Anolis sagrei: one gene and its partners. The protein of the gene in region 3 interacts with the protein of the main gene of each other region in a pairwise test. Links are inferred from orthologs where the notes say so. Each region holds a gene or a part of one and is shown on either strand. Other genes may lie near its edges. The genes, in order: MOB3C, ATOX1 and protein FAM118A.

The links.
Region 1: the proteins of protein FAM118A (region 3) and MOB3C interact in binary tests that used the Homo sapiens proteins (3 or more experiments, as listed by UniProt). The link is inferred for Anolis sagrei from reciprocal best matches to the Homo sapiens genes FAM118A and MOB3C.
Region 2: the proteins of protein FAM118A (region 3) and ATOX1 interact in binary tests that used the Homo sapiens proteins (3 or more experiments, as listed by UniProt). The two-hybrid records come from large-scale screens. The link is inferred for Anolis sagrei from reciprocal best matches to the Homo sapiens genes FAM118A and ATOX1.

Annotation. Positions count from the first base shown.
Region 1 is NC_090024.1:177,747,796-177,758,611, reverse strand, and holds the start of MOB3C (MOB kinase activator 3C), read right to left. Parts: upstream 3,977-10,816; 5' UTR 3,789-3,976; intron 1-3,788. UniProt on the Homo sapiens protein: May regulate the activity of kinases.
Region 2 is NC_090022.1:84,268,985-84,279,526, forward strand, and holds the start of ATOX1 (copper transport protein ATOX1), read left to right. Parts: upstream 1-6,395; 5' UTR 6,396-6,510; coding exon 6,511-6,516; intron 6,517-10,542. UniProt on the Homo sapiens protein: Binds and deliver cytosolic copper to the copper ATPase proteins. May be important in cellular antioxidant defense.
Region 3 is NC_090025.1:100,453,287-100,463,993, reverse strand, and holds the start of protein FAM118A, read right to left. Parts: upstream 4,323-10,707; 5' UTR 4,278-4,322; intron 2,712-4,277; exon of another isoform or gene 2,700-2,711; coding exon of another isoform or gene 2,559-2,699; intron 1-2,558.

The DNA of each region.
Region 1 (10,816 bases), on a different chromosome or scaffold from region 3:
ACAATGATGATCAGTGTTGGCTGAGGGATGAGTTTAGACTTGCACAATGGCCCTGCTCTTGCCTATGTAAAGTTACCTAACTAGGATAACACACAAACAGAAACTACTACTATTGTTGCAGGGATGTGTGGCAAACTATATGAGTATAGCAATGTGTATATTAAAGTCTTTGATCCCTGGTATGGCTAATGTGTGGGTTTGGAGGTGAGAAGACTCAAGTTTATTTCCCATACTTCTAATTCTTCTCCTATACATTATCTGGCAGTAAACTCACTGAATTTATTTGCATGGTTGTGCGAAAGAAGAACTGCAAAGCACTTTCTGCACTGAAAAATGCTATAAGGATTATTAATGACAACTTGTGCTTTTAACAAGCTGCAGCAAGAGATGTGACCCATAGCATATAAAATCATTTGTAGTGAGCAGTTATTTGGAAATTACCGTGGCTCCCTTCCCCTTGGCAAAGTACCCCATAGGGTTCACATTTAAAAGGTCGGTTTGGGCAGTATCAGTTTAGGGAGACAGGCAATTCAAACAGCATGTTTCAGGACACACACACACACACAATTAATTAACAATGCATCAGCCTGCTTCAAGAATTATTCCAAGGTAAAGTATTATAAGATGACAGGCAACAAACTAACACAAAGAAATCCTCCTTTGAAAGAGTGCCAAGCAGTGGTAAACAAACTCTGCTGTGATTCACACTCAGCTCTTAATGGCCCTCTTCTACTCAACCTGGATAATCCTCTGTATGTCTCAATGAAGGAACTGAAACCTGCCTAGTAAGATGCTCTTTGCCCAAGGAGCTCTTGCTATTGATGTGTTCATTCGTTCAGTCGTCTCCGACTCTTCGTGACCTCATGGACCAGCCTACGCCAGAGCTCCCTGTCGGCCGTTACCACCCCCAGCTCCCTCAAGGTCAGTCCAGTCACTTCAAGGATGCCATCCATCCATCTTGCCCTTGGTCGGCCCCTCTTCCTTTTGCCTTCCACTTTCCCCAGCATAATTGTCTTCTCTAGGCTTTCCTGTCTCCTCATGATGTGGCCAAAGTACTTCAGCTTTGTCTCTAGTATCTTTCCCTCCAGTGAGCAGTCGGGCTTTATTTCCTGGAGGATGGACTGGTTGGATCTTCTCGCAGTCCAAGGCACTCTCAGAACTTTCCTCCAACACCACAGCTCAAAAGCATCGATCTTCCTTCGCTCAGCCTTCCCTAAGGTCCAGCTCTCACATCCGTAGGTGACTACAGGGAATACCATGGCTTTGACTAGGCGGATCTTTGTTGCCAGTCTGATGTCTCTACTCTTTACTATTTTATCGAGACTGGACATTGCTCTCCTCCCAAGAAGTAAGCGTCTTCTGATTTCCTGGCCACAGTCTGCATCTGCAGTAATCTTTGCACCTAGAAATACAAAGTCTGTCACGGCCTCCACGGCTTGCTATTGATATAATGGATATAATAGAGAGGTCTAGGCTGTGCTTCCTCTAGTTAAGACATTCTGCACATGGTCCATGACACGTCTCTGTAACCTTTATTATGTGCCTTCAAGTCATTTCTGACTTATTGCAGTGTGAAGACAACCTCGTCATAGCATTTTCTTGGCCAGATTTGTTCAGAAGACATTTGTCACTGCCTTTCTCTGAAGTTGAACAAGTGAGACTGGCCAGAGGCCAGAGGCTTTCATGTCTGAGTGGGAATTCAAACCTTGGTCTTCAGAGCTTCCAATACTCAAACCTCTAAACCAGTGGTTCCCCAGATGTTTTGGCCTTCAACTCCCAGAAATCCCAACTGGCTGGGATTTCTGGGACTTATAGGCCAAAACACCTGAGGACTCACAGGTTGAGAACCACTGCATTAAACCATGCTGGATTCTTGAGTCATAAAGTTAGTATGTGGAAAGGGTATGCCCTGGATAAAGAAACCCTGGCTCAACTGAAGTAGCCCAAATGAAAAAGCAGGAAGCTACTTCATCATTGTCAATGGAGGACATGAGAAAAGCCTCCCTGTTGGATTGTAACACATCTGGGCATCCCCTGGGCAACATCTTTATAGACACCTGATTCCCTCACACCAGAAGCAACTTGCAGCATGCAACCAAACAAACCAATTGACCTTTTCAGGACCAACTATGACAATAATCTCAATCAACATCAAAGGTATGTCAGCTGCCAAAGAACAACTGCTTTACAACTGTTCAGAGATAAGAAATGTGACGTGCTGTGTGTCCAAGAAACACATAGGGATAAACAACAGAAATGACCAAAAGTTCCAGGAATGACCTTAGTGATGTAAAGACTACATGCGCAATATGGAAGTTCTGTCTTTGTAAAACCAGGCCTCCACGTCAGCAGTGCCCATAACACTGAAGAAAACAATACAGAGGTTATAACAGTAGATCTTAATAATATTATGATTACCTCTATGTACAAGCCCCCAAATGAAGAGTTTTGTTTCTTCTCTCCTGAGAACTTTGATAGGCACCAAAGGGCAGTAACAACTGGTGACTTTAACAGCCATAGCCATGTATGGGGCTATGCTCAGGAGGATAAAAATGGAGAGGCTGCCCTCTCTTTGGCTGAACTGCACAAACGATTGCACAAACTATTCATGATAGTAAGCTCCCACCATCCTACAACAGTGGGAGATGTCTTATTTGTCTTATGTGTGAGTGACAGCATTGTGCAGTGGGACTACCAATGCAAAACACACAGCATTGGTTGATAGTATGCCAATTGTTCCCAACTATGAGGCCTCAGAAAGGCAGATTGGTCTAAATTCTCAGATATGTTAGAAGACAAGATCATATTGGTCGCCCCAGTCCCTGAGGATTACGAGTGCTTTATTGAAATAGTCCATTGACAATGCTTCAGGGCAGGCTGCAAACTATGTCCTGCATATAATCAGTTCTGCTTTAGTACAACCTATGTACACCTACTCAAAAACAATGTGTGTCTTGATCGGGAGGATTTGTCACAACTTTAGTAAGTCATCAGTTCTCTTTTAAATGGTTTGGAAACTTTGAACATCATTAGGCAGAGCCTGGGAAAGTTCCTTGTAAGAGGCAACAAGTTCCACAGTCTTACAGCTGACAGGGCCAGTGGTCAGAATGGAAGCATATGTATGTATTGTAGAATTTCAAAAAAGTAATTTTTCAACGTTCTGGTATCAGGGAATTGGAACTCACACTCCTCTCCCTTGAGTATAATTCTAACTGGGGATTATAATCTGTCGCAAACATTGAGGCTTCAGCCTTCAGTACACCCAATTATGAGATGATTCAATCCTACTACAAGCATGATCGGACACTGAGTGTTTGTAGTTTCCTTGGCGGGTTGCGAAGTGGCAACTGGCGGCCACCCAACACCAACAAGACCTAATAGCGCTGGCAAACTTCCTCTAGATTTTTTCCCTTCTCTCTCTCTCTCATTCTCTTTCTTTCTCTCCCCAGTAAACATTTGATTTAAAAGTCATTTGTTGATTCCCAGCAGCATGTGGACGCCACAAATATTAGCAAACACCTTTCCGGAGCTCAATCGCCTGCCTAAAATGCCCCTCGACCACAAATCGCGCCCCTTTGAGACCACAAAGGGTGACACGGTGAGAAATCCAAGACGTGAAAAGGGATCATCTTGTTCACCGGACCACAAGGCTGAGCAAACCCAGAAAGACTTTTACTCTGAGTTTGGAGGCGCTTTCGCGTTCCCGTTTGGGGGAGAAAAGGCAAAAGAAACAAACAAAAAACCCGACCACTTTGAACTCCCAGCTAATAGGAATCAAAGCTTGTTACCTTGTAGAAACGGTGCAAGAGCCGGGTTCCTCCAGCCAAGGTGGAACTGAGAAGGCGCGACCAGGAGCTCGAGGGCTTCAAGTTGCTCCACAAGACAAGCCCTTCGCTGGGGTTTTCATGAAAGAAACTCCCTGCCTTCTTCTCTCTCGCTCTGCCCCACCAGTGATGTCACATCCTGACTGGGTCTAGAGGGGGGGGGGGGAGGAGGAGGGCTGCCTTTCCTCGCCCACTGCCTGCTTTCCCTCCCACCTTCCCCTTGTGGCGCTCCTGCCTTGGTCGCCCCAAAGGCTGGGGAAGGAAGAGGAGCCTTGGGAAAGTCAGCCTTGGGAAACTCCCGCGCTGGGTTTTCCCCAAACCCAGCCCCCCCACTCGCTCAGATCCGCTACATTTTCGTTTCTCGTGGCTCCAGTTGAAGACGGACTTTGAGATCAGGTTGCACGCGTGGGAAATTCCAGACGAAAACATTAAAAATCCATCCCGGTTGCTGCCATTCTTCTTCTCACTCTTTGCAAGTTTCAGTTATGGGATTTAGCCCGTAAGCTCGTTGTAGTGTTTCTAACTAATGGTTGGAGCCCCCGGTGGCGCAATGGGTCTAAACCATGGTTTAAATGGGTTTGACCATGGAACAACAGACTGGTTCAAGATTGGGAAAGGCCTACGGCAAGGTTGTATACTCTCACTCAACCTATTCAACTTGTATGCAGAATACATCATGAAATGTGCGGGGCTTGACGAATGCAAGGTTGGGGTTAAAATTGCTGGAAGAAACATTAACAACCTTAGATATGCAGATGTGGCCAGCATGATTGCATGGAGCATCGTTACCGTCCTGCCAGAGCAGTACCTATTGATCTACTCACATTTGCATGTTTTTGAACTGCTAGGTTGGCAGAAGCTGGGGCTGACAGCAGAAGCTCACGCCGCTCCCCGGATTCAAACCTGTGAGCTTTCAGTCAACAAGCTCAGCAGCTCAGCGGTTTAACCCACTGCACCACCGGGGGCTCATTCCGGTACTATTCACTGAATTATATCTAATACAATGTACCCTTATAACAACTTTGCGGCTACTTTAAAATCAACATTTGTCTTTCTCTCTTTTATCCTATATATTTTCACTTGATTTTTAAAATGCAGTTATAAAGGCCAGAAAAAGGGTAAGAAGAACAAAAAGTAGAAGAGGCAAATAGAGAAGATATGAACAAGGTCCAAAAGATATAGGCTGCCTGCCCATATTTCCAATAAATCGTTGAGGTCTCTAAATTACAGTTGTGCATCTCTAAAGCAATAAGATATTCTGACCAAAAGTTAAGCTGTTTCAGAAGATAAGAGGACTGCTTTCGTGGTGGAAAAGAGAACAGTGTCATGGGAGTGGCATGTTAGAGATTAGGCAGAAAAACTATATATATATAGCATCAGAAGCAAAATGAGATTACATTTATAATGTATAGGAAAAACCACAAACAAAGTTAAAAACTTGGCATTATACTAAATTTCCTTTTACCAGAAGCTGGCCACTTGGAATACCTTTGGTGTTGTTGTAAGAAGGTCCTCCATTATGCATGTGGCAGAGCTCAGACCCCATATGATAGTATGGTTTCCACCTTTTGGGTACTTCCAAATGAGGCCTTTATTGTGAAATTTTACAGAATATCCTAGAGAGGATATTCACAAATCTTTCTTCTTCTATTTGAAACCCTCTCATACATTTCTTCACCACTTGTTCAATGTTTCCTGTCTTTCCACCCACACATACTCTCAAACAAAATTGTGTTAAGGTGGAAAAGATTGAACAGCTGCACAGTGCTTTTTTTACTGCCAATAATTCAAACTCTTGCCCAGAAGTACACTCAGAGGAATCATTTCATGAAGGCCGTTTTAGTCAGGGAATTGACATAGGGGCAATTTGAGAGAAGTGATGTCTCAGCCCTGTGTCCTGCTGTTAATGAAAATGCTTTGGAGGAAAGAGGGCTTCTCATCCCACTGTTAACCAGCTAAGGTTAAACAGAGAATGTGTATGTGCCTTCCAAATCATCTGTCGAACTGTGAATTTCATAGGAATTTCTTAGGCAGTGTATACTCAAATGTGATCTGGCATTGTCTTGATCTGAAATGATGATGATGATGATTGACAAGAAGCAACTAGAAAAGCTTACACGATATAAGGATTTAAAGATAGAACGCCAAAGACTCTGGCACAAGCCAGTCAAGGTGGCCCCAGTGGGCTTTTTTTTTTTTGTCAGGAGTGACTTGTGGAACTGCAAGTCACTTCTGGTGTGAGAGAATTGGCTGTCTGCCCGGATGTTTTGGTGTGTTACCATCATTGTGGGAGTCTTCTCTCATGTCCCCACATAAGGAGCTGGAGCTGATAGAGGGAGCTGATCTGTGCTTTCCCCAGATTTGAACCTGCAACCTGTTAGTCTTCAGTCCTGCTGGCACAGGGGTATAACCCACTGCGCCATTGGGGGCTTCTTCTCCCAGTGGTGATCAGCACACTGGGTGCATTGCCTAAAGACCTTGGCCTGTACTTAATAATAATTGGCACTGACAAAATTGCCATCTGTCAGCTGCAAAAGGCCACCCTACTAGGATCTGCACACATTATTCACCAATACATCACACAGACCTAGACACTTGAGAAGTGTCCAATGTGTGATCAATGTGTGTGTACTATTTTTTATGTATCAAATAATAATAATAATAATAATAATAATCTTTATTTGTATCTCACCCCCTCTCCCAAAAGGGACTAGGGGTGGCTTACAACAAAATATAGCCTAAGGCATCTGGTATTCCCTAGTGATCTCTTTTACTATCCAGATCTGATGTTGCTTACTTTCCAAGATCAGACAAGATCCAGTGTCTTTGGGGTATTCAAGCCAATTTTGTCATCTTTTGCCCAGCCATAATGATATTTTCTTAGTCCAAGACATTAAAAAATAAACAACACTTGTTTTAAAAGAAAAAAAGCAGAAGTCAAAAACCACAAACATACATGGAAAAGGTCTCCATGCTTGTACTTGCATTCTTAACCAGCCCATGCTGACACTACAAATCAAGCAGTTTGAGACACAAGAGAGGAAGAAGTGTACCAAAAGAATTTGTCATTCTTCACTGCCTTTTTAAAGCAATGGATGAGCAGATACCATACAGGGACACTAATGTCTCGAGTTTGCTGGTTTGCTGCTTGTCACAAACCTGTACCCTTCTGCAAGATAACTTTTTTCTCAAGTAACTGATCCTCTGTCGCTCTAAATTAGTAGAGTATTTTTTTAAGAAATCCTGAAAATTTATTCTGGATCAATTTTGAGTTTACAGGGAAAAGAACAATTTTCCTATATAACCTTATACCTTTATTACAGTTGCCATGGGTTACTTTCTTGACCAATTTGTCTCATTGGCTATCAGGACAGGATACAAACATAGCAAATCTATCAATGAGTGTCAGCCATTTCATTCATTCATTCATTCATTCATTTATTTACAGTATTTATAGATCACCCTTCATGAAAAATATCAGGATTTTTCCTGATATTTTTCCTCTGAGCATCCTACCTCTGAGGATGCTTGCCATAGATGCAGGCGAAATGCCAGGAGAAATGCCTCTAGAACATGGCTCTATACCCTGAAAAAACCCACAAGAACCTAATATCAGGATTGCTAAAAGAAATAAAATAAAAAATTACCCCCACTGAAGTGCTATAAGAAAGTATAAAACGCTTTACAGACTCAGAATCTGAAGAAACCATAAGGACCATACAGTGCAAGCCCCTGCTATATTTACAATAATAGAAAACAATATGCCTGGTAAATAAATGATTGTAAGGTAAATGCCCTACAGCTGCACATCCACAGGAGTGACATAAAATAGTTTATTTCCTTAGATAACACAGAAATAGAGAAGTGCTTCTCCATGGGGTCCCTAGTATACAATATGAAAAAAACCCTCATTCATTTTCTTGTGATGGACAGAAAACTAGCTATCCCTTCTCCAAAATCAGTTTTTGTCTTGTTTCTGCCCTATATATTGGTTGAACTCACTGAAAGATCTGAAAGGGTAGACTTCCAGTCTTTCTATGTAGATCCAAGTTAATGCAGCCATGACAATTTGTCCAGGAAATGCCTGAAAACATCTCCTCTTACTACACAAGCTGCCAAGAGCAAAATTTGGAAAGCCTTTCGGTGTCACTTAATACTGCTGCTGTCACATTTGGCACAGATTGAGCAAATTATGAGGAAGTATTACTCATGAGCTCTTGTAAGCAGACAACTATGGGAAATACTACAGGGAACAATGATAAAGCAGACCTGAAAGTAAATTCTACCAGTCATACAGATTTAAGAGACAGCACCAGAAAGGGCACCAAAGAATCATGAGTTGCATCATAATGACTTATTTTCCTCTTTAGATGTCTTTGAACTGGATGCTGTCATGTGTTTTGTGAAGGACCACCCCAGAATGAATTAAGAAAGCCACAGCTTGTGCAGGAAACACTTGTGTTCTTGTTAACTGATACTGGAAGGCATGACATGCACATATCCAGTGACGCTGAAGTTATCAGCCTGGCTAGAATTCAATGTGCAAGATCTTATCTACAAAGCCCTAAACTTTAAGACTCCTATTTGTTTTCAGGACAGTCTGGTTCTTCCCTCAATATAGCTAATCTCATAGATGTAAAGCTAACTTGCCTGATCCAAGCAATCCGTCCTAGGTGCTATCATTCCACCAAAGAGAAAAGGAAAATAGAAGAGGGAGCAAAAAAGTGACTGAAGACAATGAATGAAGTATAGAAATAATCCGTTTTCATTGTATGAACACAGCTATTCTTTTTGTATCAAATTACATTACTGTGGTGACAATGTGCAAACTTTGCTCAAAAGCCGCTTCTTTACATAATGTTCTTACACCTAGAATAATGAAATATCAATAGGATGATGTTGACTGTTCCTCCTATCTTTTGATTTCAGAACTTCGAAATCCTTCCCAGGGTTCATCTGTGTGTTTGTCTATCTGTCTATATGGAATCATGCAGGGGAATAGAATAGAATAGGTTTGGGAAGTTTCTGATGAAAAGCAACTAGCCAGGCATATTTTATGCTGAAGTTTATTACTGACGAGGATGTTTAACTGGGGGAAAGCAGCAATCAAGCAAATCTGATCTGTTATTGCCTTGCAGTGTGTGCATTTTGGTCCCGAAAGAGGCTGTGTTTAATATTCTGATCATCTGTGACTGAGAAGCATCTGTTCAGGTACAAAGCTGGGGTGTTGTGGAACATCTTTCATGGATGATGTGGTTGGCCTTCTGCCTGCTTGCCCTTCTCTGGAGTACAAGTATCCTATTATTCAGACAGCTATGGGCCATTACATAGTTGCTCTGGAAGTGTCTTTTAATATGGGGAATTATAGTGTTTCCCTTTCTTGTTGTTTATTTTAAATTGTTTTGATTCAGTGCTTGGTCTTAATATAGTAGGTTAATGGTCCTTCAATAATATAACTGAGCAGGGTTTTATCACATTTTGCTTTAATTCATGTTGCAACCACAATTGATTCTGCATTAGAAGAACAGTTGGATAGTAAAGGAATGAATAAAATAACATAGCCTTACTTTCTGCCATGACTTTGTTCCCTTTGACCAAGAACTAATGTATAAGCAAGAAACCTCATGCTAATATGAACATAAAAAGTCAGGACATGGAGTTTGAGTCAGAAATTGCTTGAAATAATGGCAACCATATTATTAATTAAATAGAATTTGCTCCACTGCATACATTGCTTTGGAAAACTACCTCTCTGTCACTTCTGAGTATATCTGAACCACTTCTAAATTCCACATGGTGAATCCTTGCTGTGATGTTTGCCTTCTGAGGCAGCAAATTTGCTCTTGGTTGTAGGAACAAGCCCAAGTGCTGAAAGTTATTTCTAATGTAGCCTAAGCATCTTGGTTAACTCCTTTGAAGTTCTAGAGTGGAACAATCATTTCACTGATAAAGTTGGCAGCAGCTACCATGAATTGCTTATGTGGCTTTCTAAGAACATGACTTTATTTCATCTGTGCCCTCAAAAACTCTTCACTGTAATAAGGAGCAAATTTAGTAGAAAGTAGCTCTCAGACCCCAAGCTAAGAGCAAAGTCTTATTGTACAACCATGGTGTGTTCCAACTATTGGCTTAAATTCTGTTCGTGACATATAAATATTCAAGTTCAAAATGGTTGATGATGTGGGAGGACTTCACTACACTCCTCACACAACACTTTCCACCTATTTGAGACTCACTTTTCCTCTTATGCTCCCCATTCCCAGCTATTTATTTATTTATTGTGTCAGAAGTGAATTGAGGGAACAGTTATAATGTATTTTAAAAAGAACACCAACAGAGTTAAAAACTTGGCATTATACTAGATTCCCTTTGACCAGAAGCTAGCCACTTTGAGTGTCTCTGGTGTCACTGTGAGAAGGTCCTACATTGTGGGAGGGCTCAGATTGCATTGTAATAAGTGGTCTGTGGTTTGCTCTTCTCCACACTTGCAGGTTGTGGATTCCGCTTTGTAGCCCCATTTCTTAAGATTGGCTCTGCATCTCGTGGTACGAGAGTGCAGTCTGTTCAGCATCTTTCAAGTTGCCCAGCCTTCTATGTGCCCTGGAGGGAGTTTTTCATCTGATCTCAGCCACAGATTGAGGGCTATTTAGCAGAGAGTGGGGGCATATTAGCATATCTTTTGGCTGTGCACCTATAGCTAGATGCAAAATAAGCAAGGATTCTTGATCTTCCAGAGGTTCTTTAAGATGATATCATGGTTCTGTATCTGGCCATAGATTGATGGATGCAGTTGATAGAGACTATACACTCTCCATCTACAGACAAATAGTTATTGAGGAGATGGCTAACAGGAGGAAATGACGTCCTTTAGTAGAAGAGATAGAAAGCACGATACAGTTCTGTCTGAGGGGTACTTTATATCTCCCATTGCAGGCTCTCAGTCACTGGTATTTTTTTTACTTGGAACCCTTTCCTGTTTTCATATCATATCT
Region 2 (10,542 bases), on a different chromosome or scaffold from region 3:
CAGAAATCAATCCTATACGGTGTGTAAAAGATATCTACTCTAAGCCATTTTCAGGATTTCAGCTAAGTCACCCAGTCCTTACAAATTTAATCAGAAGCAAGTCTACACTGAATTTAGTTATCTGAGAATGAAATTTATCAAAATCAGTGTGATATCTTTATAAAATGAATAGGGTCAAGGTGCATGGTATGTCTGTTAGACTTCTGTAAAAGGCAATATGCTGCCCAATGTGCGTATGAAATGTATGAAGAGATTTCTATGCTGGTTTTCATTTCAAATATGCCAAAGCACTCTGCAATATTACAGTGCCTGAAATCATAACATACAATAAAACTATGCAATAAAACAATGAGCATCCATAGAACAATAAACCAATAAAATAGTTCATTGAAGTCATTGGGGTAACTACAGGCCTGTAGCAGGATTTCGTTTCGGGGGGGGGGGGGGGGGGAGGCTGAATTTTTTTCAGGGGGGGTTTCGGGTGGGGGCTGAGTCTGAGTGAAAGAGGGTCTAGCCTAGCAAACCTAACATACAATCATTACACCAATACCCCCATGCATATGGGATATATTGAATAGGGTGATCAGATCATGATATGAATAAACATAACAGTTTAAATAATGCAGCAGTAAGGACTTTTCGTGAACCACCATCAGAATTGGGGGGGGGGCTGAAGCCCCCCGAGCCCCCCCCCCCCCCCCACCCCCCCCCCCCCGGCTACATGCCTGGGTAACTAGCAAGGTTAGTGATCAGAAAAATAAACACCTGGCAAAGCACAGGATGCAGAAAACTTCAAGACAAACTAGTTTATTTTATCATATGCTTTTACTAACTCCCTCCCAATATTGTTGGGCTGGAGAATCCAAAAAAAAAAATGGAATCTAGAAAAGCTTATTAGCTAGCCTTAAAAGGTGCCACTAGACTCCTCCTTTTTATACTAAAACAAACTAACATAGCTATCTCTCTGGAAATGGATGAAGAAATCTTCAGCTGGTGATTAAAATACTCTATATAGGAAGCACCCCACAGAGACATTATCCAACGGAAAGATCATTTAGCCTGGTGGGTGCCGCAACAGAGACATCCCTCCTCTATACTTTCAGCAAGTAAACTTCACAATGCTGTGGGGTACAGTGGCTCCTGCACTGAGACCCTCACCATAACCTGGTCCAAAGCTATTTAGAGATTCATAACCAATTTGAACTTTGTATTTAGAGACAGAGAAAAATTACTCTTCCTTTATCATTAAGCATCTGGAGGAGTCCCTGGTAGTGTAGTGGGTTAAACCCTTGTACCGGCAGGAGTGCTGACCAACAGGTCAGCGGTTCAAATCTGGGGAAAGTGAGTTGAGCTCCCTCTGTCAACTCCAGCTCCCCATGCAGGGACATAAGAGAAGCCTGCCACAAGGATGTTAAAACATCAAACACCCGGGCATCCCCTGGGCAATGCCCTGGCAGATGACCAATTCTCTCACATCAGAAGCAGCTTGCAGTTTCTCAAGTCGCTCCTGACACACACACACACACACACACACACACAATAAAATTCAAGCATCCTGAAATATAAAGACTCCGGCAAGCACAAGGGGTACTTAAAAGTGCCATCCATGCATTTGGTGGAGTTTATTCCTAAGTAAACATGCACAAGATAGATTGAAGGTAGTCTCATTATTCCTTTAAAAACCCATTTCTCAGTGCTTGAATATTCAGTAAACCTCTGATTGATAATTTCTGAACTACCTAGTAGCGGTGGTAACCCAAATCTGCCAGATCATTTTAGAGAATTCAGCCTAGTTTGGAGGGTAGGATCAAGCTCCCTTCCCATTCCAGGGTCCGTGGATTTTTCTATAAATTTTATCCTTTTTCCCACATCTAAGACCTGAAATGCCCTGACTGCAATCCACATCCTAACACATACAATAAATAAATCCAACTAAACCTGTTCAACTATATCTGTTCAACAGATATGCGTATATGGGAAGTATGTTCTTTTCTGTTAACCAAGCCTTATGCTCCATTAGGTATATTTCAAATTGAGCTTAATGCTTTGATCTTATGTACCAGTATGTCTTCTCAGAAATAATTCCCAGTGTGTTCAGCGGATCATATGCCTAGGTAAATAAGCCAGGGCCACCTCAACACAATTTGCTTCCCTGGGGAGATTCATAGTATCACACTACTGTGGCATCCAAGGCAGAAAATCACAAAAATGCTCTTTGGAAGTAAAACACTTAAAAACTGTAATTATGCATTTAAAAGGAAGAATTTGCTTACCTTTTCATCATCACCCAAAATCAAGGAAGCAAGCTGGATGTCTCAATCTACCTAATGCTGGGCCAGATTCAGGACTCCAGCTTAAGGACAGCTGATCGATGAAATGCTCTCATCAAGCCATTGCTGCAAGTCACTTTTGGTCGCTGCTGGTGTGAGAGAATCAGCTGTCTCCGTAGAAGTTGCCTGGGGGACACCCGGATGTCTTGCAATCCTGCAGGGAGGCTCCTCTCATGTCCCCCTCTCATGTCTAATATAATGCCAAGTTTTTAAACTTTGAGTGTGTTTGTGTGCATTTTTAATACATTACAACAGTACCCTTTGCTCGCTCCTGATACAATAAATAAATAACCAAACCATTTGTAGATTGTAACTTTTAACTAAGTGTCCTAAGGCAACACTACTCAGATATGACCAGTGCTAGTCCATGAATCATCTGCTGATGATTTGTAGTGAGTTTCCAGGAAATTATGGCTCTGCTTATCTGATGAATTAAGGACCAGGTCGCTGACAGAAAATGGAATTGGTTGAAAAGTGGAACTACAAGGAATTTTAGCTAGCAAATAAAAGATTAAACACTAGGTGGCGATAAGTCAATGGAGAGAGAAATAAAACCAATGCACCAATAATGCAGCAGAAGTGGTTGGAAGAGTAGACTAGGGGCCAAACGTGTTGCACAAGGCTATAATTTAGGTGGGTCAAAACAGCAGAACATCCAAAACTGAGTTGTCAAAAAGTGTGGGATGTTTGTAGAACAGGCATGGGCAAACTTCAGCTCTCCAGGAAAGACAGGAAGAGGCTGTTAGGAATTATGGGAGTTGAAGTCCAAAACACCTGGAGGTCTGAAGTTTGCTCATGCCTGTTGTAGAATCATTATAATGAATATGGTACCAGTCTCTGACACACCGGGGAGAAAGTTCACAGCCTGCCATATAAGACAGTTTAGGAAGAACTAACAGGACGGTGACTTGATTTTTTTTTTTTTTGGTCGTGTCAGGAGTGACTCCTGGCGTGAGAGAATTGGCCGTCTGCAAGGACGTTGCCCAGGGGACGCCCGGATGATTTGATGTTTTATCATCCTTGTGGGAGGCTTCTCTCATGTCCCCGCATGACGAGCTGGAGCTGATAAAGGGAGCTCATCCGCCTCTCCCCGGATTCGAACCTGCGACTGTCGATCTTCAGTCCTGCCGGCACAGGGGTTTAACCCACTGCGCCACCGGGGGGGCTCCATGGTGACTTGATGATACAGACAGACATAAGTTAAGGTATATATGACTGAAGTTACACTTAAAAATGTACCTGTTTCAACTTACATACAAATTCAACTTGAGAACAAATTGACAGAACCTGGGGACTACCTATCTGGGTTGACTTGTCCACAGGTCAATGTGAGTACTTTAACTTGACTCTTATCCAAAAAGGAACCATCCTTTTTATCTGAGTAGTGCCACAAGCTTAGTCCATCCCATGTAAACCTAAAAGAAGCACCAATTTGCTTCCTCCCATAGGGCCCTTCCAGACAGGCCCTATATCCCAGGATCTGATCCCAGGTTTTCTGCTTTAAACTGGATACAAGTCCATAATGCCAGATAATCTGGGTTAAACAGAAAATTTGGGATATAACGCATGTCTGGAAGGGCCCTTGTAACAAAATGTATAATTACAAAGTAGGTTGAAAAGGGTCAGTTGGTTAGTTAGCTGAAGTCAGTGAAGTTGTTAGTCAGTTAGCGGGAGTCAGTGAGGTAGTTTGCTGAAAGCAGCTGGAAAACTAGCTAGGGAAAAGCTAAAGTGGTTGACTGGTAGCAGGAAGCTAATGACAGTAGAGAGGTTTTAAAGGACCAAGTGGTCAGGATCTCTATGCCAGGCAAAAGATTATTAGAAGTCAGTTTTCATATGTTAATATAAAAGTTCTTTTGGAAAAGAGGAAAGGCTTAAAGGAAAGTCATGTTGAAACTCTGTTTTGTAACCAATAAGCATTTATACTTTTGAAACCAGCACGCTTTTGTCACAAGAACGATACAAATAAAACTGTTTCCTTTTAAGCAAAGTCTCTCTCAATCTAGGTTCTTGTGGGTTTTTTCGGGCTATAGAGCCATGTTCTAGAGGCATTTCTCCTGACGTTTCGCCTGCATCTATGGCAAGCATCCTCAATCTCTCACCACCAATTTAAGAAGACACAAAAGGTGGTAGAAAAATCAAACAACCTTTTATTCTTTGGTGGCATCTTTGCACAGGCTGGTAGCCGGACCCTTCCTGACCTTTTTACATTTTTGGTGAGATAAATAAATAAAAAGTCCCGCCACGCAACCAGTTTAAGTGCCTCACAGCCCTTATATGGAAGCTTGTTACTGTTGTGGGGCAAGCTGAAATCCCCACCAAAGGGATAGCCCGGCCCTCCATTTCACCTGGCAATGCTGTGTGACAGGGGTGTCTCTCACACACCCATTTCAGAATGGACCACCACCCCCCCCCCCAATATCTTACAACCACCACTTGCCATTACATTAAAAAATATCCAAGCTCTGGGTTCTATTACAATGAGAGAAGAAGAGAATTGATTAGTTGGATTCCATTATTCATTTATCTGCTCTCTTTTCCACCTGCACAGTCCTTTCTGACTTTAAGAGGCCAGACCTATCTAGTTTTTAAGAATACCATATTAATTATACAATATTACAGTATTTTATTATATAATATTAGTGCAGCATACATTTTAAAACTGGCTTTCATCTCACCCATTTTTCCCCCTCTTCCCAAGCCATACACATTTACAACCTGGCTTCAGACTACAAAAAAGGAGATTCCACCTGAACATGAGGAAGAACGTCCTGTGAGAGCTGTTCAGCAGTGGAACTCCCTGCCCCCGAGTGTGGTGGAGGCTCCTTCTTTGGAGGCTTTTAAACAGGCTGGAGGGCCATCTGTCTGGGGTCCTTTGAATGCGATTTTTCTGCATCTTAGCAGAATGGGGTTGGACTAGATGGCCCATGAGGTCTCTTCTAACTCTAGGATTCTAGTCCTCAAGAGGTGCAGCAGCACAACTGCTCCCAAGTGTATCTTGAGAGTGTATCTACACTGTAGAATAATGCAGTTTGACGCTACCTGAATTAGGAGCCGTAGTGCTGCAATGGGTTAAACCCTTGTGCCAGCAGGACTGCTGACCTGAAGGTTGGAGGTTCAAATTCACGCAACAGGAAGAGCTCCCGTCCATCAGCTCCAGCTTCCCATGCGGGGACGTGAGAGAAGCCTCCCACAGGATGGTAAAACATCCAAACTAGGGTGTAGAGTGAGCTCTCATCTGTCAGATCCAGCTTCCCATGCGGGGATATGGTAAAGCATCCAGGCCAGGGTGTAGAGTGAGCTCCTATCTGTCAGATCCAGCTTCCCATGCAGGGACATGAGAGAAGCCTCCCACAGAATGGTAAAGCATCCAGGCCAGGGTGTAGAGTGAGCTCCTATCTGTCAGATCCAGCTTCCCATGCGAGGACATGAGAGAAGCCTCCCACAGAATGGTAAAGCATCCAGGCCAGGGTGTAGAGTGAGCTCCTATCTGTCAGATCCAGCTTCCCATGCGGGGACATGAGAGAAGCCTCCCACAGAATGGTAAAGCATCCAGGCCAGGGTGTAGAGTGAGCTCCTATCTGTCAGCTCCAGCTATCCCATACGGGGACATGAGAGAAGTCTCCTACAGGATGGTAACATATCCGGGCATCCACTGGCCAACGTTAATTCTCTCACACCAGAAGCGACTTGCAGTTTCTCAAGTCGCTTCTGATACAATTTTTAAAAAACCACTTGAATTGCTGTAGAATCTTAAGATTTGTCGTTTGGTGAATCGCCAGCACTCTTGGGCAGAGAAGGCGAAAGGCCATGCAAAACGACAACTCCCAGGATGCCCTACAATTAAGTCCTGGCAGTTAAGCGATGACAAACTGCGTTTAGTCCTAAATGTCGATGCACCTTAAGTACAATGTTCCCCACGCGCCTCTGAGCATGTGCAGAGAGAATAGCGTGGCGCGTCACTCCCTGCCAACGGAATGGCTCCCCCTGGCGGCGCAAGGAAGGAAGGGCGCTTCTTAGCCCCCCCTCCTCCCGCGGTCGAAGGCTGAAATAGGCGGGGAGTGGGCGTGGCTAGCCAGCGGTGGGCGGGGCTTCCTTGGCCTTTCATTATTGCGGAGGAAGGTGGGGAAGAGGCTGCTTCTCCGTTCCGGTGACTGGCAGAAGGGAAGCAGCCGCAGCAGCCATGCCGGTGGGTGACTTCCAAAGGCGGCTCCAAGGGGCTGGGTTTGGGCCGGGAAAAGGGTCAGGGCAACAGCGGGGGAGCCAAGGATGGAGCAAGGGATCCACTCCCCCCCCCCCCAATCATTGCTACAACAACCTCCCCTTCCCTGCCCAAAAGAAAACGAGATCTGCTAAATCAGATCCTCAGGCCCAGGATGCATCTACACTACAGAATTAATGCAGTTTGACAGCACCTTAACTGCCACGGCTTAGTGCCACGGAATCATAAGAGCTGTAGTTTGGTGAGGCATCAGCACTCGTGGACAGAGAACTCTAATAGATCTTGCAAAACTACAAATTCTATGATTCTGTAGCATTCAATCATGACAGTTAAATTGGCTTGTTATTAATAACAGTGCCTGACTGCTGATATGGAAAATGAAGAATTCAAATATAGTCCCAAAGCCAATCCAGTTGAATGTTTTCACTACACAAGATGGATCTAAGACAGCGGTTCTCAACCTGTGGGTCCCCAGATGTTTTGGCCTTCAACTCCCAGAAATCCGAACAGCTGGCAAACTGGCTGGGATTTATGGGAGTTGTAGGCCAAAGCACCTGGAGACCCACAGGTTGAGAACCACTGGTTTAAGATGGTTCTCAACCAAACACCCTAATGTTTCAGTGGAGATCCTATCTGCAAGGGATGTGATAAAGGGATGATGTATAGCAGGCATGGGCAATTGGTAGGCTGTTAGGAATTGTGGGAGTTGAAGTCCAAAACACCTGGAGGGCCGAAGTTTACCCATGCCTGCTGTATAGTTTGAGAAAGGCTCTCTAGGATTTCACCCCATACGTTTTGAAGAGAAGTTTTGCAACCCTTTTGATTCAACTCATATAGAACGTGTTGCAGTAGTTTCAGTGTTGGAGTGCCACTCCAGAGACCAGGGTTCGATTCCTCACTTGGCCATCGAGACCCATTGAGTGACCTTGGCCAAGTCACACACTCTCAGCCTCAGAAACCCCATAATGGCTTTAGGGTCATCAGAAGTCAGCACTAACTGGAACGCACACAGGAACAACAAGCAGAGGAGCCTCACCCTTGTTGGCATATGGAATGAGATGTTTTGCTCCGCTATAGTGAAGATAAAACCATTCCTGATGACTGTTAAAACCCTTAATGATGACTGTTCAAATGGTGTATTTAGTTGTCCTTTGTAAAATTGTAGCTTAACTTCTGTTTTATTATTTTGTTTTGCTTTGGGTTTATATTGTGTGTGTGTGTGTGTGTGTGTGTGTGATTAAGTTGCAGCATTAAGCCAGCTCAAGTCGTTTTGGGAATGGTTGGCTGTTACTCACATGTTTATACTGCCCTAGTTTTTTGTGGATCAGTGCCCACTTTGTCAGGTTTGTGCCATGATAAATGTCTTAAGGTGCACAAAGACCTTGTTGTCTCCTTCTGTGTGGACTTTTTGGAACCCCTGAATGCAACCTGAGAGATGAAGAGGATCACTCAAGACCTGGCAAGACACACACACACACACACACACACACACACACACACACAGAGGCCCAGAAGAACTATCCAGTGAAGGCAAAGCCAGTTAAAGAGTTTGTTCCTTCCTGAGAAATAAAAGGTTTTGCTTCAAGACATCTCTCAGAAGTAACTTCAGCAGTACAGTGATTATGTCAGACAAACAGCTGTAGCCTGGCTTAAAAAGCTGTATGAACTTTAAGCCTGACCACAGTCCAGCGAGGGTGTTTGCCCACACAAGTGACCTTCTGGGCCTAAATGCAGTAAACATTGGGGAAATATCAGGGGTCTTTGGACTCCCAACCTCAGATTCCTCGAGCCACAATAGTGTTAATCAAGCTGATGGAGGAACGCAGGAATCCAAAAAAAAACCAAAAAAGTAACTTCTCCAAGCTCTGGCCCCAGTGATTAGTCGAAGGATTGGTCCCTTACTGTGCTATACAGTAAAGTCTCGCTTATACAATAAAACCGGCCAGCAGTATGTTGGATAAGCAAAAATGTTGGCTAATAAGGAAAGATTAAGGAAAAACCTATTAAACGTCAAATTACGTTATGATTTTACAAATTAAGCACTAAAACTTTTTTTACAACAAATTGACAGAAAAAGCAGTTCAATACATGGTAACATTATGTAGTAATTACTGTATTTACAAATTTAACACCAACCCATTGCAGTGTATTGAAACAACTGTGGATCCAGGTGGGAGTCAGATAGTGTTGGATAATACAGAATGTTGGATGAGCGAAGGTTGGATAAGTGAGACTCTACTGTATTTCTTTTAGGCAAAAAGAGTTCATGTGTGAGCAAGATTTGCCTGTGCTATAAGATCTTGCACATGCCTTTATCATTCTAGAACAAAAAATACAAAAGAGCCCCTTGCAGAACTTGACTGTTGACTTTAAGAGCAATAATAGAGGGGGAAAAAGACGTAAGGAGGCATCTACTGCTTAATGCAAAGATTGATCATTTCTCTCCTCCCTCCACCATCATCTAGAGAAGCTAGACATATCTGGCCTCACTAATAGGCAGGGTGAAGCAGCTGCCTCAAGCACTATATGTTAATGTATAGTTAGCAAACAAGTTCTTCTGTGTTCCCTAAGTTAGCCAGCTGCCCTCAAATGCAGTGTCCGATGTTGCCCTATCACCAGTGTTGCTGTAAGAGTCAGGGTTGTTGACTTACAACACTCAGATTCTCCCAGCCATGACTGCAGGTCCCATTGGCCATACTGGCTGGGAGATTCTGGGAGCTGAAGTAAAAAAAAAAAAACTTTTGCAAAATCTGGTAAAACTTAGCAGAGTGAGAAGAAGCCCTATCTTCTTGTCATGCATCAAGCAGACAAGAGTTCCCTTGCCTAGTTTCCAACAGACCTCACAACCTCTCAGGATGCCTGCCATGAATGTGGGTGAAAAGTCAGGAAAGAATGCTTCTGGAACATGGCCATACAGCCCAGAAAACTCACAGCGACCCAGCCCTGTCTTGTTCTCAAGCAACGAAATGTCTTGGGCTGGCCTTGAAACTGGAGGTGAACTAGACCTTTTGAAAGGTGGCTGGAGGCTGACATTTCTGCATCATGAGGCCTTATGTCCATTTCTGACTCCACCAACCACAACACATATTTGAATGTCTGGCTTGGATACCAGGCCAATTTCCAGCTTCGCTTCTGTAAATTGCGTCTTTAGTGGTACCAAGAAAAACCGGTTAGTCATTCAAAGACTGACTTTTTATTCCCATGCTGTTCTGTAAGCTGTAGCAACAGTGCACAGCAACACACAGCTCACTTGGGATTGGTCCATTTAGGAAGGATCCAGAATTTGCCACGTCTTATTAATCTCTGAGTGATTCATGGTTCACACAGGGAAAAGACAAAAGTATTACTAACCTTTCTAATGTAGATTTTTCCTAGTTAATAGATGGTGGTGAAAATTACTTGAGATCAAGTGTTAGTGGAGGTAAGACTAGGGAGATATAAATAAGCAGGTCATCATTACAGACACTGGTTCAGATACTGCATTTTTTTCTGAAACAGATTTTGTAGCCAGGTGGTTTTTTGAGAACATGTCCAATTTTATGTATTTATTTTTAAAATTCTGCTTTGTGTACCTGGAATAAGATTTAAGGAAACACAGAAAAGAAAGCAAAAGTGAAATAGAAAGCAAAAACAGAAAGAAGTGATCAGAAATGCTCTAATTTATCTGAAATATTGTTACACAGTCATGTTTAGGAAAAGTAAGAAGAACCAATGAAATTTGGGCAATACACCATCTATCATATAGAATCATAGAATAGAATCATAGAATCATAGAATCAAAGAGTTGGAAGAGACCTCATGGGCCATCCAGTCCAACCCCCTGCCAAGAAGCAGGAATATTGCATTCAAATCACCCCTGACAGATGGCCATCCAGCCTCTGTTTAAAAGCTTCCAAAGAAGGAGCCTCCACCACACTCCGGGGCAGAGAGTTCCACTGCTGAACGGCTCTCACAGTCAGGAAGTTCTTCCTCATGTTCAGATGGAATCTCCTC
Region 3 (10,707 bases):
TGCCTACCTGCGTGACCGCATCTCTGTTTATGAACCTGCACGCTCCCTTCATTCATCCGGAGAGACCCTGCTCACGATCCCACCTGCGTCGCAAGAGCGGTTGGTGGGGACGAGGGACAGGGCCTTCTCTGTGGTGGCCCCCCGACTCTGGAACGCCCTCCCCAAGGACATCAGACAAGCCCCAATGTTGGCAGTCTTTAGGAAGAGCTTGAAGACCTGGCTATTCCGGTGTGCATTTCCAGAATAGGAAACACCAGCAACACATCCCAGAAGCACTTTATTAGAGATTTAAGATTGTCCGCACATGGCACTTACCCAAAAATCCTTATATTTCACTCGGCATACTCAGCACTTTTAATCTGTACCCATTATACTTGGCCCGGCCTTAGTTTTACTGTGTTATGGTGTATTGTTTTTACTGTTTACTGTCTATTGCTTTAATATTTTAATATTTTGATTTGCTTTATGGGGTATGTGTATTGTTATACTGTTGTTTTATTGAGGCCTTGGCCTTGTAAGCTGCATCGAGTCCTTCGGGAGATGTTAGCGGGGTACAAATAAAGTTAATAAATAATAAATAATAAATATAACAAGGAAGAACTGCCCGTAATTATTCTGCAACACAAATAAGCTTACTACAGATATTTTTTCTTACCGAGTTTCATGCATATTACTAACAAACTATTCACTGCCCTGGCTCAACAATATGTGTATACCTTTTGGTATGGCTATGTTATCTATCATTCCCCAGAAAATCAAAGGCAGAAATTCAACAGGGACAGATGCTGCCAGAAATACTCCGCCAGTAAAACCCTGTAATGGTGTCACTATAGGTTAGAAGCAAATTGAAGACAAACAATAGCAATTACACCAAGATATATTAACCCTGGGCCCTTCCACACAGCCACATATCCCACAATATCTGCTTTGAACTGGGTTGCAGGAGTCCACACTGCCATATATTCCAGTCCAAAGCAGAAAATGTGGGATTTTGTGAAAGGGGCTTCATATAATCAAGATCAAAGCAGAAAACCTGGGATCAGTTCCTGGGATATAAGGCCCACGGCAAGAAGATGTGAAGACCAGACTTAAAAGTCAGAGGGCAGTATTTCTCCTCTCTTTGTTATAGAAAATATATAGAATATATATGTGTGTATATATATATAGAATATATGTGTGTGTGTGTGTGTGTGTGTGTGGTCTGTTTGTTTTGAGTGACATCATAACTCAAAATCCACTTGACGAATTGCCGCCAAATTTGTACACAAGACACCTAGTAACCAAAGGAGTGACCATCACTCAAAAATTGATTTTGTAATTTGGGAGTTGTTGTTGCTGGGATTTATAGTTCACCTACAATCAAAGAGCATTTTGAACTCCACAAACAATGGAATTGAACCACACTTGGCACACAGAACTCCCATGACCAACAGAAAATATTGGAAGGGTTTGGTGGGCATTGACCTTGAGTTTTGGAGTTGTCGTTCACCTACCTCCAGAGAGTACTGTGGACTCAAACAAGGATGGATCAGGACCAAACTTGGCATGAATACTCAATATACCCAAATATAAATACTGGTGGAGTTCGGGGGAAATACACCTTGACTTTTCGGAGTTGTAGTTCCTGGGATTTATAGTTCATCTACAATCAAAGAGCAATCTCAACGCCACCAATGATAGAATTGGGCCAGATTTCCCACATAGAACCCCCTTGACTAACAGAAAATACTTTTGTTTTCTGATGGGCTTTGATGACCCTCTGACACCCCCTTACGACCCCCGAAGGGGTCCCGACCCCCAGGTTGAATAACACTGGATTAATGGGCTGCTAATTGAGAATGCTCAATGTTAAGTATTAATGTTAATGCTTAATGTTAATGGAGCCCCTGGTGGCGCAGTGGGTTAAAGCACTGAGCTGCTGAGCTTGTTGATCGAAAGGTCGCAGGTTCGATTCCGGGGAGCGGCGTGAGCTTCCGCTGTCAGCCCTAGCTTCTGCCAACCTAGCAGTTTGAAAACATGCAGATGTGAGTAGATCAATAGGTACTGCTCCGGCGGGAAGGTAACGGCGCTCCATGCAGTCATGCTGGCCACATGACCTTGGAGGTGTCTACGGACAACGCTGGCTCTTCGGCTTAGAAATGGAGATGAGCACCACACTCCAGAGTCAGACATGACTGGACTTAATGTCAAGGGACTACCTTTACCTTTACCTAATGTTAAGGTAAAGGTATGGGTAAGGAAAGGAAAGGAAAAAGGAATCGAGAAAGGAAAGGAAAGGAAAAAGGAAAGGGGAATAGAGAAAGGAAAGGAAAGGAAGGGAAAGGAAGGAGGCTCTCTGGGACCAAAGCAATGGGGTTTTTGCCTCTCCCCAAGGACGGAAAGGGCAGGAGAAGCTCAACGGACACGGCCTCCAGCTTAGCCTGAGAAATGGGTCAAATCCTGCAAAGCCTCCCTTCCTGCCTGGATTGCAGATCAGATCGAGAGCGCTGGCTCCCTTCCTTCCCTCCTTCCTTCCTTCCTTCCTTCCTTCCTTCCTTCTTCCGCCCGCCTCCCTTTACCTGGCCCCGCTGGCGGCTGCTCTTCCTCGGCCGGCTCCAGCCAGCGAGAGGACCGCAACTCCTCCTCTTCCTCCGAGGCTGGCGACAGTGTGAGAGAGAGCCTCCTGTCTGTCTCGAGGAGCCGCTGCACGCCCAAAGCATCCTCAGGTCCCAAAGCAGGCCAATTGCGCGCGCCGCTGGCCAGCCCCAGTCAAGCGGGGGTCGCTGACCAATCCGGGCAGCCGCATCTCGGAAGCTAAGCCCCGATTGGTTGGCTGCCTGGATTGTTATTCTTCTGCTCGCTTGGGTACCCGAGGATATTTGGAAGAGACCTCACTACCCAGAGGGCCCAGAGAAAGACATTACTAGCATAAGCTTTCAAAAATGTTTACACTAGAGATGTCTTTCCCTTAATCTCAAAAGTACTGCTAGACTCCTTTATATTTTTTTCTGTTCAAACTGACTGCCAGGCTATCAAATGCTAATCAAGGTGGTCACTTGAAACATTCACACCTAGCTCCAGCAGACAAGAGTCCTTTGTCCCACTCTGGTCTTTCCACAGATATATAAACCCATTTTCCTAGTTCCAACAGACCTCACAACCTCTGAGGATGCTTGCCATAGATGCAGGCGAAACGTCAGGAGACAATGCTCTAGAACAGGGGTCCTCAAACTAAGGCCCGGGGGCCAGATGCAGCCCTCCAAGGTCATTTATCCGGCCCTCGCTCAGGGTCAACCTAAGTCTGAAACGACTTGAAAGAACAACAACAACAACAATCCTATCTCATCAGCCAAAAGCAGGCCCACACTTCCCATTGAAATATTAATAAGCTTATATTTATTAAAATTGTTCTTCATGTTAATTATTGTATTGTTTTAGTGTTTTTGCATTACAAATAAGATATGTGCAGTGTGCATAGGAATTCATGCATGTTTTTTTTTTCAAATTATAATCCGGCCCTCCAACAGTTTGAGGTACAGTGACCTGGCCCTCTGTTTAAAAGGTTTGTGGACCCCTGCTCTAGAACATGGCCATATAGCCCGAAAAAACCTACAACAACCCAGTCAGTTTTTTAGTGGAACAGAATGCATAAGGTTGTGGGTCAACTACAACTCACATTGTGCCAGGTTAAGCCCGAGAAACTCCATCAGTACTTAAAGTTTGTCATTTTGGGCAAGTATGCTCTGGATGCGTCATCGGTGGTACAAAATGCTTTACTAATAATATCTATCTAAATAAAAATGTAATGTTCGTTTGTGCGATTAACAGAACTCAAAAACCACTGGATGAATTGACACCAAATTTGGACACAAGACATCTCTCAGGCCAACGAGTGACCACCACTCATAAAAACACTGAAAAACACAGCAGAAGGGACTAAAAAAGCCAAAAAAACCAAAAAAAATCATTACAACGCACTCCATGCCACACTGTACATCCTGGTGCGGTTTGGAGAAGGATGCACCATGAATGATGGGACTTGCCATACCTGCACTCCCTTTCTGAGACCATTACATCTGCCAACAATGATAGATCAGGACCATAATTCACACAGAGAGCCCACATGACCCACTCTACATCCTGGTGCGGTTTGGAAGAATTTGGATATGGATGATGGGACTTGAAGTAACTTCACTCACTTCCTGAGAGCACTGAGACCCTCGCCAATAACTGTTCAACATCCTACTGCAGTTTGGAGGAGGATGGACCATGAATGATGGGACTGTAGTGAATCATACCTTGTAGGCCGAAGCCAAAGCCTTTAGAGACAGTGAGCCGGCCTCCATCTTGGTGAGGGAAATACAAGGAAAGCCAGATCAGCAGAGGGGAAGAGTTTAGCTGCCCCAGGATTGGCTAGGACAGATGGGAGGAGCTGAAGCTGTCAGTGTAAAAGGGAGGCAGGCAGCTTCTGGAAGAGAGAGAAGTGATTGAACATCAGACAGAGAGAGAAGGGATTTTAAGGGAATTGAATTTCAAGCTGAGGGAAGAGGGTAGTTTGAGGGTGAGTGGAATATTTCCTGAGGGAGAGTGTTGGAAAGGCAGGTGTGGCTATAGAGTGGCCTGGAGAGCCAAATAGCCGCTTGTGGACTGGTGTGAGAGGAAACCACACTGGTTGTTATACACTTTAAAGATCAGAGTATTCTAGTGGGATCTAGATACGCTGAGGGAAATCGCTCACATCGAAGAACAGATACACAGTTGAGAAGTTCAGCAAGCTTGTTAAGTCTTAGTAACTGTTTAAGAAGATTGTGCTGTGCTGACCATATATGCTTTCGTAATTCAAAGAAGAATCCAGATGTTTGTTCTAATATATTTAAATAAACTTTATTCTAGTTCAACTTTACAAGAAGTCCTCACAGTGATTCATTTCATTAAGCCTGTTCCAGTAGAATTCTAACATCTTTTCGCCTCAGACACATTAGGGAGAGTTAAGGAAAGGGCTGTGGCACTCTAAGCTTTACCTCACACATAACATCAAGTTATATTCTCAAAAGCTATTTGAGTGGTGGCAGTAATATCTTAAAAAAAACACATAGAGCTTTGTGACAGGTGTCCAGTTGGAGCCTAAGAAGACAAAGTCCTTTACTCTGTTCCTTCAAATTGATACCAACGGCCAAAGGGGTCATCCAATCTAGTTTACATTGGTGACCAGATGAGAGCAATATAACAGTAGAAGGAACGGGTGCGTGTGTGTGAGCTAGGGAATACATTTGAAGCATTATTCCTTAGAGTTCCGGCCAACCGTTGCAATCTGGTGGCAAGTGGTGGGATAAAAAGGTTTTCCACCCTGCCAACGGCTGATCGGTTACTTGGTCCTTTAGAAGCATGTAGTACCATCACTCACTTACCGAAACCACTGCGACCCTAATCCAATGATTGATCAAGACCAAACTTGGCACACAGAGCCCCCATGACCCACTCTACATCCTTGTGCTGTTTGGAAGAGGATGGGCCATGGATGATGGGACTTGCAGTACCTCCACTCACTTCCAAAGACTGCTGCAATCCACATCTAATGACCGATCACAGAGCCCCTATGAGCCACTCTACATCCTGGTGCTGTTTGGAGGAGGATGGACGATGGATAATGGAACTTGCAGTACCATCACTCACTTTCCGAAAACACTGTGACTCTCATCCAATGTCTGATCAAGACCAAACTTGGCACACAGAACCCCCATGACCCACTCTACATCCTGATGCTGTTTGGAGGAGGATGGATGATGGGACTTGCAGTATCTTCACTCACTTCCTGAAACCACAGCGACACTCATCCAAATACCAATAAAGACCAAACTTGGCACAGAGAGTCCCCATGGCCAACTCAACATTCTGGTGAGGTTTGGGGGAGAACAGACTATGGATGATGGGACTTGCAGTACCTTAACTTACTTTCTGAGACCACTGTGACCCTCATCAATGACGGAACAAGACCAAACTTGGCACACAGTGTCCCCATGACCACTAATGCTTTCCAAAGTTCTTTGTCAGCACAGAGATAACATTCAGATACAATCCTTAATGGACTGGATAATGGAGAAAGGCAGGGAGTTTCAGAAAAACATCTATTTCTGCTTCATTGACTATTCTAAAGCCTTTGACTCTGTGGATCATAATAAATTGTGGCACGTTCTTGGTGGGATGGGCATACCAAGCCACCTTGTCTCTCTCCTGAGGAATCTGTACAAGGACCAAGTAGCAACAGTCAGAACTGACCACGGAACAACAGACTGGTTCAAGATTGGGAAAGGCGTATGGCAAGGCTGCATACTCTCACCCAACCTTTTTAACTTGTATGCAGAACACATCATGCAATGTGCGGGGCTTGATGAATGCAAAGCTGGGGTGAAAATTGCTGGAAGAAACATTAACAACATCAGATATGAAGATGACACCACCCTGATGGCCGAAAGCGAGGAGGAGCTGAGGAGCCTTCTAATCAAGGTGAAAGAAGAAAGCGCAAAAGCTGGGTTGCAGCTAAATGTCAAAAAAAAAAAAACCCCAAGATTATGGCAACAAGAATTATTGACAACTCAAAAATAGAGGGAGAAAATGTGGAGGCCATGACAGACTTTGTATTTCTAGGTGCAAAGATGAGTGCAGATGCAGACTGTGGCCAGGAAATCAGAAGACGCTTACTTCTTGGGAGGAGAGCAATGATCTCGATAAAATAGTAAAGAGTAGAGACATCACACTGGCAACAAAGATCCGCCTAGTCAAAGCCATGGTATTCCCTGTAGTAACCTACGGATGTGAGAGCTGGACCTTAGGGAAGGCTGAGCGAAGGAAGATCAATGCTTTTGAACTGTGGTGTTGGAGGAAAGTTCTGAGAGTGCCTTGGACTGCGAGAAGATCCAACCAGTCCATCCTCCAGGAAACAAAGCCCGACTGCTCATTGGAGGGAAGTATACTAGAGACAAAGCTGAAGTACTTTGGCCACATCATGAGGAGACAACAAAGCCTAGAGAAGACAATTATGCTGGGGAAAGTGGAAGGTAAAAGGAAGAGGGGCCGACCAAGGGCAAGATGGATGGATGGCATCCTTGAAGTGACTGGACTGACCTTGAAGGAGCTGGGGGTGGTGACGGCCGACAGGGAGCTCTGGCATGGGCTGGTCCATGAGGTCACGAAGAGTCGGAGACGACTGAACGAATGAACAACAACAACACAATCCTTAAAGGAAAATGGCGATGCAGCCGGAGCCACGACTCTTCACTGGCTAATCATTAAGCAGCACAATTAGAGAAGAATACTGACAACAAACTGATAAGTCACTGCCAAATCACTCTTATCTCAGAGGGAGTTTTGGACTTAACCAGCAACACTCCATTAATCGACCTAAAGAGAAATAAACAAAGAAAAAACAAGAAGGGTGAGAAAACAAGCTGACCTGTTTAGCCTTCTATGGCTTCCGGAAGCTGAAGCAGTATTTGTATTATAACTTGTCCTACAATCGTTGTTATGGTTTCAGCAAAGCACCATTCTACTACTGTTTCTCTACTACAGGGTGGAAGGCTGTAATTTCCTCTCCCTGCCTGCACTCCTAACCCTGTGGCTGCAGTTTAAAACAATCCTTAAAAGCTTCTATAGTTCTAACATAGTTTTGTGCTGCCTGATACAACTTAGACAATCCATGATTAATGCATTCTTTTAATGTTTTGGTCTATGGAAATTACCCTTTTAAACAAAATATACAAGATATAATAGTGTCGAGATCTGACCCAAATATTTGTTTCTTAACTTTGCATTATAAAGAAAACAACCATTTTTCACAGAATCATAGTCAATACATCACTGTTAGATTAAATTCCCTTCTTCAGCAGCTTCTTCCCTCTGAATATCTGGTTTGCTTTGATCGCTGGCCACTGTTTTGCCTTCTCCTTTCTCCCTTCGATTCTTTGAAACTTTAGTTGCAAAACCTCTATTTAAATGGAGCTGAATTATCTTTCGTTTGTTTTATTAATCCACAATATTTGTATCACACCCGGGAGCTCCGGGGAATGCTGTCAGCCGGCCATTCTCCTTGGCCATGCTGCCCTTCCCTCTTTTTCCCGCTTTGAGCCCATCTTTAAATCTCTTTTCCTGTCCACCAACGTTCCATTTTCCGTTCTTAAGTTCAGAGTAGAGCAACTGCTTTGGGAGACAGTGGTCAGGCATCCGGACAACGTGGCCGGCCCAGCGGAGTTGATGTTGGAGGACCATCGCTTCAATGCTGGTGGTCTTTGCTTCTTCCAGCACACTGACGTTTGTCCGCTTGTCTTCCCAGGAGATTTGCAGGATTTTCCGGAGGCAGCGCTGATGGAATCGTTCCAGGAGTTGCATGTGACGTCTGTAGACAGTCCACGTCTCACAGGCATAGAGCAGGGTTGGGAGGACAATAGCTTTATAGACAAGCACCTTGGTCTCCCTACGGATGTCCCGGTCCTCAAACACTCTCTGCTTCATTCTGGAAAATGCTGCACTTGCAGAGCTCAGGCGGTGTTGTATTTCGGCGTCGATGTTGACTTTGATGGAGAGGTGGCTGCCAAGGTAGCGGAAATGATCAACATTTTCTAATGTTACACCATTAAGCTGTATTCAGATCTTTATACTATAGTGAATGGATGTTGAATTGCAGCTATACACAAAGAAGACATGCAGGAAAATACCATAGACTATATGCATAGCCATAGATTGTTTCTGTTCTCAAATTTCTCTCTTCAAAGGTGCTCCACTTTATTTTTCTGACGTATGTATTTGAATTGTGCACATAGTGTGACAGAGATTGATTTTTCCTATTATGCTTACATTAAATAATCATGCCTGAAGTGGCAGCTCCATCTTGATCTTTCACCAGGAATATCCAAGGACTCCACCACTCTTTTTGGGATCTCTGAGCAGACTGTGTTAATCATAATAATTTTATTTCTTACCCGCCTCTCCCCATGGCTCGAGGCAGGTCACAACATAGTCAAAACACACACAAAAATACTATTAAAATTCTGCAAACACACATGTTGAAATGCAATTTCATAAAATATATGTATCAAAGCATTTCTGTAAAATGCACATTAATCACACAGGACAGAGACCAAAACACAGGACATGAGTTTAAAGTTCATGCTTTCAACTGGCTGCGTAGGCCTGGTGGAAGAGACAGATTTTTGGGTAGTTTTTAAATTCTGACACAGGATCTGGCTGTCGGAGCTCTTCAGGCCGGTCGGTCCACAGTCTTCGGGCGGTTGATAAAAAGGTCCAGTGGGTGACGGTAGCCAGTCGAGTTCTGGCTGGTTGGAGTAGCCCCCTCCCCCTGCCTGAGAAAAGATCTAAGTGTTTGTAGCGGATAATATGGGAGAGGGAGATCCTTTAGCTAATTGGACCCAAACCATGTAGGGCTTTAAAGGTCAAAGCCATCACCTTGTACTTTGCCCAGAAACTAATTGACAGCTAGCGGGGTGACTTTAGGATCAGTGTAATATGCTCACACCTCTATGTTCCCATAACCAATCTGGCTGCCGTGTTTTGAACCAGCTGGAGTCTTCAAACTTGGTACAAGTGTAGAGTCCATTGCAGAAGTCCAGTCTTGAAGTTACCAATGCATGAACTACCATTTTCAGTGTTGATGATACTCCTTCCTTTTTTCCAGTGTGGTGCCCAGAGTAATTTACAAAGGTTAAAATCAATACAATTTTAAAATTCTCCTCATTGAGACTATTTTTTTTTAAAAAAAACTTAACTTCCCAACTAGTGGGATAAACATCCCCAGTTTTATCTTTCCTCATCTGACAAAATATGTCCTCTTTAAGAATTTTCTAGATTTTGCAGAAGATTCTATGGAATGCCAGGCGTTGCCATAGAGCAGGCCAGCACAACATCCTGCCCATGGGCGGAATGCAGCCATCCAACAGCTTCGCTGTAGACAACAGAAGAGCCTGACCTTCCCCTTAGTTGGTTGGCTTTGTGGTTGCGTACCTTCTTTGATTATTTGACTAGTGACACTTTACAAATCAATTAGTTGATTTGACTATTAATACTTGACAAATCATCAAGAGAAAATTGTCCCTCCTCTGAGCATCTTTGATGTAAGTTAGTTGCTTCTCTAATTCAGTAATTTTCATTTCTTTTTGTTTTTACAACTTATCTTGTTGCTTAATATAGACCTGCAGTCACTCCAGGAGACAACTATTATACATTATGATTATAAGACTCAGACAGTTGGAAGCGAACCCCAAAGGCATCTAGTCCAGCCCCTTCTTTCTGCCAGGCAGGAAGATAGAATTGCTACTATATTACGAGGGTTATTTTTTAAGTAAGGTCAGTTGGAACATAAGTACACAACGAAAGTTTATTTCAAAAAAGTAAATTTATTTTCAGAAAGTACATACTTCACTCTATTTTTCGACATAGTTGCCAAGTTTGTTCAAACATTTATCATACCTCTGAACCAATTTTAAAATACCCTCTTCATAAAAACTTGCCGCCGGCTCCGATAACCAAGAGTTCACTGCCGTTTTCACGTCGTCGTCATCATGGACGTTGTCACGGCCATCTTTGAATTGTCGTACCCACTTATGCACTTTGCTTTCACTCATAACAGTATCACCGTACACTTCACAAATCTGTCGATGAATTTCTGCAGCAGGCAGGTTCCTTGCTGACAAAAACTGTATCACTGAGTGAACCTCACAT